Saccharomyces cerevisiae S288C: one gene and its partners. Changing the gene in region 1 together with any one later gene gives a genetic interaction. Each region holds a gene or a part of one and is shown on either strand. Other genes may lie near its edges.

Evidence for each region.
Region 2: mutations in CRD1 (region 1) and APQ12 together harm fitness more than expected from each alone (negative genetic interaction), as found in Saccharomyces cerevisiae (2 studies listed by BioGRID).
Region 3: mutations in CRD1 (region 1) and PAM16 together harm fitness more than expected from each alone (negative genetic interaction), as found in Saccharomyces cerevisiae (3 studies listed by BioGRID, with this or other methods).
Region 4: mutations in CRD1 (region 1) and UPS2 are lethal when combined (synthetic lethality), as found in Saccharomyces cerevisiae (4 studies listed by BioGRID, with this or other methods).

Annotation. Positions count from the first base shown.
Region 1 is NC_001136.10:201,200-204,424, forward strand, and holds CRD1 (cardiolipin synthase), read right to left. Parts: upstream 1,372-3,225; coding exon 520-1,371; downstream 1-519. Other genes in the region: chaperonin-containing T-complex subunit CCT4, read left to right, coding at 1-383; biotin--[acetyl-CoA-carboxylase] ligase BPL1, read left to right, coding at 1,840-3,225. UniProt on the Saccharomyces cerevisiae protein: Catalyzes the synthesis of cardiolipin (CL) (diphosphatidylglycerol) by specifically transferring a phosphatidyl group from CDP-diacylglycerol to phosphatidylglycerol (PG).
Region 2 is NC_001141.2:275,808-278,698, reverse strand, and holds APQ12 (Apq12p), read right to left. Parts: upstream 977-2,891; coding exon 560-976; downstream 1-559. Other genes in the region: TED1 (Ted1p), read right to left, coding at 1-273; GVP36 (Gvp36p), read right to left, coding at 1,194-2,174; protein kinase PKP1, read left to right, coding at 2,407-2,891. UniProt on the Saccharomyces cerevisiae protein: Involved in the regulation of lipid homeostasis in the endoplasmic reticulum, thereby impacting nuclear pore complex biogenesis and localization, and nucleocytoplasmic mRNA transport.
Region 3 is NC_001142.9:225,730-228,316, reverse strand, and holds PAM16 (import motor complex subunit PAM16), read right to left. Parts: upstream 991-2,587; coding exon 541-990; downstream 1-540. Other genes in the region: SET4 (Set4p), read right to left, coding at 1,580-2,587. UniProt on the Saccharomyces cerevisiae protein: Essential component of the PAM complex, a complex required for the translocation of transit peptide-containing proteins from the inner membrane into the mitochondrial matrix in an ATP-dependent manner.
Region 4 is NC_001144.5:498,999-502,237, forward strand, and holds UPS2 (Ups2p), read right to left. Parts: upstream 1,273-3,239; coding exon 580-1,272; downstream 1-579. Other genes in the region: ubiquitin-40S ribosomal protein eS31 RPS31 fusion protein, read left to right, coding at 1-407; APS1 (Aps1p), read right to left, coding at 1,581-2,051; DPH5 (diphthine synthase), read right to left, coding at 2,262-3,164. UniProt on the Saccharomyces cerevisiae protein: Required for mitochondrial cristae morphogenesis and MGM1-processing. Controls the stability of mitochondrial phosphatidylethanolamine (PE). With UPS1, controls the level of cardiolipin in mitochondria.

The DNA of each region.
Region 1 (3,225 bases):
GTTGTCTAGTGAAAGAGAGAGGTTTAATCGCTGGTGGTGGTGCTCCAGAAATTGAAATATCCCGTAGGTTGAGTAAGGAAGCAAGGTCTATGGAAGGTGTACAGGCTTTTATTTGGCAAGAATTTGCCTCTGCTTTGGAAGTTATTCCAACGACTTTGGCTGAAAACGCAGGTTTGAATAGTATCAAAGTTGTCACAGAATTGCGCTCTAAGCATGAAAATGGTGAATTGAATGACGGTATCTCTGTTAGACGATCTGGTACTACGAACACCTATGAAGAACACATCTTACAACCCGTACTTGTTAGTACAAGTGCAATTACCTTAGCGTCTGAATGTGTTAAATCCATCTTACGTATTGATGATATTGCATTCAGCCGTTAACATGGGTTTCCCAGTATCCATATGTTTATGCATATATACATATATATGTTGATTTAGTGTATTTTCCACTACATAAAAACTAAAAAACATTCAAAATGAAAAGTCAGGACCCTTTTCAAAAAGGATCGCAATTATACTATTTTAAAAGTTTAAAAGCGTTTCTCTTTAATGCGTAGGATACTCCGCTCATTATTGTGGTCGTGGCGGTTACATACCCTAAATAGCTAAAGGCCTTTTGAAAGTCCTGTTTTCTATCTTCGAAATCCTCCTCGGTTTTTTCACAGCCCTCTTCTTTCTCATATAAAAGTAATAATACTCCAGATCCAAGATATACCATTTGGAAAAACGTGTTCCATTTTGATAGTTGGGAAGGTCTGACCTCAGCGCTGGGATAGCGAACAATATCCCAATAGGAATTCCATGCCACACGACCAGGATATTTCAACTTTAAAGTGCTATATCGTATAAACAAAGCACTTATGGCTAGTAGCACATCTCTACCCAGAATTATCGCCGCAATAGATACCGGTATAATCTGAGGGCCGGATGGTACAGATAATGCCAAAGTTGTTGTGATCATGAGTAGTTTATCTGCAAGTGGATCTAATATGGTTCCTGCAATGGTTTTCAGGCCGTATTTTCTTGCTATATACCCATCCATAAAATCAGTGATGCTGGAAAATGCAAACAAACCTAATGCTGGGGTCAAATTATTCGTTATAATGAAGAGTCCGATAAAGGGTGTACATCCTATTCGTGATAAAGTCAAAATGTTGGGAATATTGAGCAACTTGCTCTTTATATGAGGAGTTTTACTCGGATTGGTAGCATATTCCCTCCTAGTGAGATCTCTGAAAAGATTGTAATTTAATTGCGGGTTTACCTTAAAGCGTACAGTTAACCCTGATAACACATGATAGAATGGCCTTTTCGGTATAGTTCTCCGAAGTAATGCGGAGCATGAATAAATGGGCACCATTTGAATCATTGACTAAATTATTAGGGACCAAACTATGCTACCAGGCCTGCTTGTTTCTCAATTGCCTCCTTTCTATATTTTTTCAATTGTAAATATTGTATACTCCCGATTAAGAGGATGGCTTCATGAATCGAGCTTTTTCACACTCCAGTTTCGGAAATAGTCGCCGCACAATGATTCGAAGACATGACTGTGAAGTGTTGGTTGACATTTAATATGGTTTCATGTAAGAGATCCCAGAGCTACGGACTTGGCTTTTTCTTCCTGTAATTGTTTGCCAAACGTTGGGTAAACGCACATATAAGTATATTTTACTTTCCTTCTCCCTTCGTCAGTTTTTCTTTTGCTGTAATATATTGTTCTCAAAAGTTGTTTGGTATACAAAAGTGCAAGGTTTTTACTGGTTGTTACAGGTTCAGAGTTCCAATAAAGAAGATATTAGAACGATCTTATCAATATTATCCAATTTCAACTAATATGAATGTATTAGTCTATAATGGCCCAGGGACTACGCCAGGATCAGTTAAGCATGCTGTTGAAAGTTTACGTGACTTTTTGGAACCCTATTACGCCGTCAGTACTGTCAATGTTAAGGTATTACAGACAGAACCATGGATGTCAAAGACCTCCGCTGTAGTTTTTCCTGGTGGTGCCGATCTTCCTTACGTTCAAGCTTGTCAACCCATTATTTCTCGATTGAAACATTTTGTTAGCAAACAAGGTGGTGTCTTTATCGGATTTTGTGCAGGAGGTTACTTTGGCACCAGCCGTGTAGAATTTGCTCAAGGTGACCCTACAATGGAAGTATCAGGAAGCAGGGATTTGCGATTCTTTCCGGGAACAAGCAGAGGACCTGCGTACAATGGATTTCAGTATAACAGCGAGGCCGGTGCACGTGCAGTTAAATTGAATCTTCCAGATGGCTCACAGTTCTCAACTTATTTCAATGGAGGAGCCGTTTTTGTTGATGCAGATAAATTTGATAATGTCGAGATCTTGGCCACGTACGCAGAACACCCGGATGTGCCTTCTTCTGACTCAGGAAAAGGTCAAAGTGAAAACCCAGCTGCTGTAGTGCTATGTACGGTCGGAAGAGGAAAGGTTTTACTCACTGGACCACACCCTGAATTCAACGTCCGTTTTATGAGGAAATCCACAGATAAGCATTTTCTTGAAACCGTTGTGGAAAACCTGAAAGCACAGGAAATCATGAGGTTGAAATTTATGAGAACGGTTCTTACCAAAACTGGGTTGAATTGTAATAATGACTTCAATTATGTAAGAGCTCCAAATTTGACACCACTGTTTATGGCTAGTGCACCTAATAAGCGGAATTACTTGCAAGAAATGGAAAACAACTTAGCTCATCATGGAATGCATGCAAATAATGTTGAACTCTGCTCAGAATTAAACGCCGAAACTGACTCTTTCCAATTTTATAGAGGCTATAGAGCCTCTTACGATGCAGCAAGTTCGTCCTTGCTTCATAAAGAGCCAGATGAGGTTCCTAAGACCGTAATATTTCCTGGCGTAGATGAAGATATTCCACCATTTCAATATACGCCCAATTTTGACATGAAAGAATACTTCAAGTATCTGAATGTTCAAAACACCATAGGTTCTTTACTTCTATATGGTGAAGTTGTTACATCAACGAGTACCATATTGAATAATAATAAATCCTTATTAAGTTCGATCCCTGAAAGCACTTTACTTCACGTGGGTACTATTCAGGTTTCTGGGCGTGGGAGAGGTGGTAACACTTGGATTAATCCTAAAGGTGTTTGCGCATCAACGGCCGTCGTAACAATGCCGCTTCAATCGCCTGTGACTAATCGAAATATATCAGTTGTTTTTGTCCAG
Region 2 (2,891 bases), on another chromosome or scaffold:
TTTAATCTGAGGATCACCGAAGGCCAAAATATGAATATCCTCATCGTTACCTGCAGAGGCATGGCTACCATGCCATTGCTCTCGAACATCACTGAAGTAATTCTTCACTTTGTCCACAAAAGTCAAATCTTTCTGTAGTGGTGCGTTCTTGTTAGAGCAGTTCCATGAACACTGTTCTGGATGGAAAGATGGATAAGTATAGATGTAAATATTAGCGACGATAGTGAGGAAGGTGGCAAAATATGCAAACTTCTTGACCGCACACCTGAGCATCTTGGGATTCTTGGTACAATGCTGCTGCTGTTGTTTTCAGTTCTTCAATCGCGACCGGATAAATCGCTTGTAATAACTTAGTTTGCAATTTTTCTTAAAACTTCAGAAATCAAGTCACAATTGTAATGAATAATTTGGAAAACACAAGTCACCAAAAATAGCTCAATATTTGATAGTGACTAGGGGAGGAATCTAGCAAAAAAAACGTTCTTTATCTATATGAATATTTAGAAATTAAGATATGTAATTACTTTAAGATGTTCCGAGTAAGCAGAGGCGTTTCGCTCTATTTAAGCAACTGTTCCATTTTCATCTGCGCCAAATGATAAACAGTGTTGATTTCTCTTTCCAGGGCATTAATAAACAGAGTATAAATTTTAAATGCGTAGTATCTATTTGACATGACGAAATTGTAGAAATTCAACAGGTCCACAGTCAAAAACTGCTGCGAACCACGCATATAAATACCGATACATGTTACTACCAACGTCAAATACAGGAATCTTTTGACCAGAGTAATGAAGTTCATCAACAACTTGTAAAAGACATAAAATGTGAAGAAAATAAACAATAGTTGGAAAACTAACGGGTGTGATTGGCTGAACTTAGTAATAGTAGGAATCAACCATTGGATGACGTCAATGGCAGACTTTAGGCATTGTGTTACTACGGATAGTTCGTATTGCGGTTGAGTAGCGTCCATTTTTGGGTTGCTCACTTTGCCCTTTGGTGACTGTTACGAAATTTTTTTCAGTAGCTTTTTCTCTTCCAGTAATTATATTTTCTCTACAAAAAATATACTCACTACAAAAGCCAGCAAATAAATGATAATATTCGTACGACACTAGAGAATATGATATTGTATTAAGTAAATATATATATATAGAGAAGGAGAGAGAAAGACAAGAACAGGGCGGCTATTAAGCGTCGTCTTCGTCATTCATAGAGATAGCTGTCTGTGGCTTTTCTTCTTCTGCAACCTCAGGCTTTGCTTCCGGCTCTTCCGCAAATGAGTTGGATAGGAACTCTTTCATTAGGCCAGCCGAGGTTTCAAAATACTCAGCTTGAGCCTTGGCCAATTCCTTCAAATCTTCACTGAAGTTAGCGTGAGAAATAACCTCCTGCAAGCACACAGTAGCGTCTTCAGTGACTTGAGCAAACTGGTCTTCCAAAGTCTCCATTTGGACTCTCAAGGAAGCTTCCTTTTCTGGCTTCTTGTTGTTTGCCAAGTTAGTTCTTGCCACGTCATATCTTAATCTCATGGAATGGACATCCTTGCGGCACTTATCGGCCTTACCGATCTCAAAAGAGAGCCTTTCCCTCAAATTTTTATTGAATTTGGTTTGAATCAAGGTATCTTGTTGAATTCTAGCTTGAGCAATCTTAGCCTGCACATCACTGAATTGCAAGAGTGCCGAAGCCAAGGGTTGTTCCTCGGTGGGGAACATCTTGTTCAAACATTCACTGGAGTTCAAAGCCACTTTACTGAGGGCGTAGTTCAACGTCTTGGGTTCTTTGATGGGGCCTGGAGCAACTAAGATGTTTTGTGCCTCAGACGCAGATGTAGCATGAGTCAACTCTGTCAACTTGGAAGCCACGCTTCTTGAAAACTCGTTGACGGATTCGTTGATGTATTTAGGGTAATCGTACGATCCGTTTTCGTAGATAGCAGTTACACCCAAGAAGTGGTTGTAAATCAGTTTGATGGTGTCAACCTTATCTTCCAGCTCTGTGTACTCTCTTGGCAATTGGGAGATGTCCGTCACCTGGCCCAAACGTTCCTGGACCATTCTTTGGGTGGATTGCGCCAAACTGGGCAATTCCTGGGTTTTTTCGGAAACACTTGTGGATATTTCCTGTAATTTCTTGCTCAAAGAGCTGGCGAAGGCATTAAACGACATTGATGACTATGATTTGTTGCTTATTCCACTCCTCTGCCTACAAATCATATAGGTTATAGGTGAAGAAGGTTGCAATTTTCTTGTTTTTGACATCCCGATTAATCCACCGCTCGCTTCTCACGGTAATAAGGGAAAATGTCTGCCAGTATGAAGCAAACAACATTAAACTGAGAACATTGGTGAGTCAAGACCATAACTGGAAGACGTGGTATCAAGACGCCTTCACGGTAGTATGTGGAAGATTATGCGTTCATGGAAATGTGGGGGAATGCGCTGGGCACATCGCCAGCGACCCTCACACGAGCTGCTGTCGCAACTGTCGTTCGACCAGCATTACAAGATTAGGTCGAACATTGAGCTGCTGATACAGGACTACGCTAGTAAACCAATTGCGCCCCTAAACTACGAGTATTTCCTGCAATACAGGCCGCCGCTGACCAAGAAGGAGGAGTACATGCTGACGATCAAGACAATCAACCTGTTGCTTTCATTGACGTGTAAACGGCTTAATGCCATTCAGAGGCTACCGTATAATGCGGTAATCAACCCTCATATTGAGAGAACCAACTCTTTGTATTTGAAAAGCTTGCAAACGTTGCTATCAATCGCATACCCGTACGAGTTGCACAATCCTCCCAAGATACAGGCCAAGTTCACAGAACTGCTGGACGACCACGAGGACGCCATTGTGGTATTGGCAAAAGGTCTTCAGGAAAT
Region 3 (2,587 bases), on another chromosome or scaffold:
ATAATTTAAATCATTTCATCATAACCCATAGCTGAATGAACTTTGACTACTCCTAAACAAAGTAGTAACAATTTTCATTTCGTTTCCGGTTTCTTAGATCGAATATTATTCTGAGGAAATTCCCTGATTACATATCAGGGAAAGGTTCGCGTTTTTAGAGAATTGCGTAATGCGATTTGAAAGTTTAAATTCCTAAGCGACTCTTCTTCATGATAAGACAGTTTATATTTTGTATACTTTCTCATTCCCATAATTTGTAGTGCCTACGGGGATGGACTTGTCTTGGTACCAACTGACGGTACGTTCTGATGCTGCCTTGCTTGTGCTCCAACATTTTTTTTTTAATTTCATTTTCGTGTACGGTGCGTATATCGAGATGGCATCTGAGTATATTTACTTTGGTACATATACTAATATTAACTAAATACAAGGATGGTGGTTGAAGATTCCTAACGTACAGGAAGCAACCAACTAGGAAAATATATGCACTGCTGCATGCTTTCGATAACACTTGTGACGTAATGATGGAGGCTTCCTTGACTACTGATTGCTGCTTGCACTATTATCTGCACCAGATGAATTTGTTGAATTCGGAGGAGGTTTCGCTGTTGAAGCGTCCCCTGCTTTCGCCTTCGCATTTTTTTCTCTCTGAGCCAGTTCCCATTTTAACCTTTCTGCTGCTCGATAAACTTTGCTCTGTAAGTAGAAGCTTCCACCTTTTTCTTTATCGTTAACCTCAAATAGATAGTTAAACCTGTTATTAATCTTGTCCATGTTTAAATCGCCCTTGGATTCTTCAATATTTAAAATTTTACAACTCTCATCCAACGTAATACCACCATATTCGCCTTTTCCTGTTCCCCTTCTAGATGCATTTGTAGCACCTTGTTTCACTGATTGTGAAGCCGCTTGTCTATACGCCTCGGCGAATGCTTTTCCAAAAACTTGAGTTCCTGTGATTATAACCTGTATGAAAGCCCTGTGAGCCATATTTTATATCCAACAAGTCTATGTTTTTCTTATGCTCAAGTCACGAAGCTGTTGCCAAATTTATAGTCAGCTGAAATATGTGAATCGGATGCAAATGAGTTATAAGTTGAAGCTTCAAAATTTGCTACGTGAAAAATGATAAACGATGATGAAGTAAATAAATATCGTAAAACGAAAAACTCTCTTTTAAAAAATTCATATGTAGGAATTTCATTTGATAAGAACCTCACTCTTCATATCAAATAAGTCATTAACCTGCCATGAAATGAATTATGGAAACAATGCAGCTTTTTGAAAGGAAAAGTGCGGTGGATTTTAACGTTAAGGATCCTCTCAACTAATGATTGATGCTTAATCGTGGCATCTATAAATAAAGCATGAATTGTTCTCTATAGTTACAAAGTGGTGATTTATTATAAAAGTGTTTTGATATTCACGCTTTCAACATTAAAGCTAAAAACAAAAGAAAAAAAATGAAGACCAATGCGAAAAAAAATACCAAGATTGAAGTTTTGGAAGAAAAATTATGATGATAAAATTAAGCTTTCAAAAAAGATTAAAATGAATACTATTAATTTTAAAATTTCGTTTATGGCTTACAGTTGTGCATTATTGTATTAAAGTAAGATTTATTAGATAGGGATTCCTTCGTATTCCTCATGAATTCTTCAGAAAAGTTTTTGATTTTAGTTATTGGACAATTATGGCCCAAGTACCCACATGCACAATCACAATTTGTTAAAATAGTCTTTATTGACCCCATCAACCAGAACTTGTCGGGATCCGGTAGGGAATCCAAATCTTTAGATGCATTTATTATCTCCCAAATAGGATTTCTCAAATCCCATTGCCATTCTACGCTTATCTCTTCTCCCTTACGAATATCTCTTATAGCCCTTAAAACAAATTTAACTCTACAATCATTATCTCCTCTTGGTTTTTCGTCAAGCGGTCTTACCGTTACTAGTTCCACATTGGGCTCACAACTCCGTCTTATGTATCTTGTTAATCCGCCTGTTTCTCGAGAGTCTATATATAAAGGCCAATGTGGATGAAAAAGTACTTTAGGTTTTGTCGTTCCCATCAAACGATAGTCATTATTTGGATCTGTCTGATAATTTTTTTGAAAATCAATTTTGCCCAAATATTCTTGAATTAGCTCACCTTTAACACAAGAATCTGCAGCGAAGACTCCAAAATCTCTTTCATTTGATGATTTTCTTACCTCGATGTCAGCTGACCTTGAGCTTTCCCAGTTAGAACAAACAACCCAATCGTCATCATAATGGTTATCAATAAACATCTTAACATATTTGTCCTTATACTCTGATATTGTTATTGCTTTGAATTCCGTGTCATTGGAAGAACTTACCTCATTCAGTAGTGGCTTCAGAAAGTGGCTTGATACTACCAGTTTTTCTTGCCTCAATTTTTTCCGTATACTATTGCTATTTTCAGTTGTTGGGGCGGTATAATGAAGTTGACGTTTCTTGGGCTGTTCCTCTATGTTATTCACAGACTGTTGATGCTGATTTGTGTTCGATGCTGAAGTTGTCACTATGGATGAAAATTGAAATAATCGCTCATCTCCCATTTT
Region 4 (3,239 bases), on another chromosome or scaffold:
AATCTTCTGACACTATTGACAATGTCAAGTCCAAGATCCAAGACAAGGAAGGTATTCCACCTGACCAACAAAGATTGATCTTTGCTGGTAAGCAATTGGAAGATGGTAGAACTTTGTCCGACTACAACATCCAAAAGGAATCTACTCTACACTTGGTCTTGAGATTGAGAGGTGGTGGTAAGAAGAGAAAGAAGAAGGTCTACACCACCCCAAAGAAGATCAAGCACAAGCACAAGAAGGTCAAGTTGGCTGTCTTGTCCTACTACAAGGTCGATGCTGAAGGTAAGGTTACCAAATTGAGAAGAGAATGTAGCAACCCAACTTGTGGTGCTGGTGTTTTCTTGGCTAACCACAAGGACAGATTGTACTGTGGTAAGTGTCATTCCGTCTACAAGGTTAACGCTTAAGTAAAGTATTTTTAAAACTTATATATTTTAATTGATCGTTAAATTTTGAAAAAGGCTTTTAATATTGTCATTATTTACTTTTCTATTTACAACAAAAGAACAAATGAATAGATAGACAGTAGAGGAATATAAGTAGTATGCAGTGCCATGCGGGATCAAGGAATTTGTATCTCTAATTTTCGTGGTTGTATGCGTCTCTAAACAAGTCAATATTTTGCTGTAAGATGGTTCTGCCGCTCCTTTCAGTTCCTTTAAGAAGCGTACCTGCAGATATTTTAACATCCTCCATGGTTTCATTGACTTTACTGACAAGTTGATTGCTCAAGTCATCAACATGTTTTTCCCAATTTTCACTAAATACTTGCAAAACAGCATCGAATCCCATTTTACCCTTTTTAGCGTTCTCGCAAAACCTTTGAACTGACCAATCTTCCATCTTATTACACAGCTTTCTAATGGATCCATATGCTGTAATTTGGGCTTCCTGCTGGAAAAGTGTTTTATTAGCCGAGTCATCGGGATGCGGGCTATATGTTACAGTTTCGTAGACTTTTAATAGATTGCACATCGTTAAATTACAGCTTCTCATGGTCAAGCTCTTTTTATTTAAGTCTACCACAGAAACTTCTCTGACATGACTCATATTGGTCCCTCCTAGCATCATCATGATCCATTTGGGAACACCTTGTTTTACAGTAATCAACCGTTCAGTAACTAAGACCTTACCTTGATCCTTCAATTCTCTTCTTAAAACGTCCACTGCGATGACATGTGTAGATATTTCATTTGGGTATTTTTTCCAGTTAGCGGCGGTTACCTGGTCCCATGGATAGTTGAAATCGTAACTGTTTTGAAACAATTTCATTATCGTCTTTTAATTATTCTCGATTATTTTATCTTAGTCTGAAATCTATTCTTTCGTCCTATTGATGCTTAAATTCAAAAATATGTACATCACTTCGCATGATAATTTTATCGCCTATATATTCTTTACATTTTTCACATTCATTCCTTTTTACCGCTCTGACCAATCAACGTTGTGCCGATGCTCGCAAAAGATATTTTTGTCCGGGCAACGGCTTTTGCGACAGACGGTAATAATAGTAGGGCCCCTTGCCCCCTTCTCATCTTATTCTTCTCCTTTCTTCTTCATTCCATTGTTTTTTAGTGGTCCTAACTCAATACCCTTTCAAGATTATCGTTGCTCTCCATGGTGTCCATCACGGTCACATGGTGCAGTACTTCCTTCCTACTGCTCTCTGCGATGGAGCCATCGCACATAATCATCTCATTCAAGATATCGTAGACCTTACTGAAGTTAAATATAATGTCTAGCTCACAAACATTGCCGAAATATGTGTCCATTGTTTCGACAAACCGATGGATAATTTCCAAGGTCAGCAGTTCATTGTCAACATCGGGCGTCATCCCAACAATAAAATATAGACTAGCATATCGCTTGTATACTACTTTGTGGTCATTATACTCGATGATGTTACACATTTTGGGTTTTCTTGCTAATATCGTAGGTGTCAAGTCTTTCACAATTTTTGCCTTTTCACCAGCGGACATTGCCGTGTACCATTTCTTTAATCTGATTTTTCCTTGCCTAGAAACCAGCAACAAATATTTTAATTGCGTCATCTTGTGTACCTGTGTATCCGTATATAATCTCCTCCAGGATCGCTCTTGTTCTTGGCTGAAATTGTTGTTATAACTTCTTGTTCATTCATTGCCATTTTTACACATATCGTTAGGGCCCGATTCGTTTGGGATCGAATTGTTACCCGACTGAAAGGATCTATTCAATATACATTATAAAAAAGAAACTACACATGAGCGTGTGCATTACCTTTACTCGTCGCTGTCGTCTTCTGTGGGTGGGACCCATGCCGCAGGTTTGAAGTACTCTTGGTCATTTGCCACATCTTTCCCAAACTTTTCTTTGTCGTCGGCAAACTCTAGCAGGTATTCCAGCTCCAATTCATGACATTGTCTGCCGAGGATGACAAGCGAATGAAGTGGCTCTCCTGAATCGTAATTGGCTAACTCACTTATGGTACCAGACTTAAAGCTTTGGGAGCTCGAGCCTAATCTACTAATTGCGACTGCTGGAGTATCAGGAGTGTATGCCTTTGTACCTCTTTTCTCTTCAATTTCTAATAATTGTTCACAACATTGAGCGATAGACATGTATCTTGGTGGTTCGTAGATTAGTCTGCCACGGGCCATATTTTCAATGCTTTGTTCCTTAACTTTGATGTCCAATAACACTAAAGTATGAAGGCCAATTTTTCTATTTTCCCAGATCTTGTCGTACCATGAGTCTGGTCTCCAATTATCGGTAAAGAAAACCATGGAAACGGTTTGACCGAAATTGTATAGTTGTAGGCCACATGCCCCAACTGCATTCATAACGGACGCATTATGAATAATTTCGACGGGAATTGCCTCACGTTTAGCTCTGAGAACTAAATCTGTGTGTGTGGTGGCACCAAATGGATCGCCCACGACCAAGAAAGCAACGTCTTCCTTATCGGCGTTATTTAGGATCTGCTTAGAACCAGTCTCAACTAATTCCCTATCAGCCAAGATGATCTCTTTACCATAGTAAGATTCTAACTCTTCTTGGCTTGCAGCCATTAGGATACTGGTATAGTGTTCTAGATAAACTCTAGAACATTTCTTAATAGCTTCCAAACCACGAACGGTAATGTCTGATTTGTACGAGAGACCAAGTCCGATCAAATAAAGCATTTTTCTCACTGTCCTTTATTCACTCTATATCCTGTTCGTTTTTACTTTGCTAACAACCACCAGAAAAAAATTTCA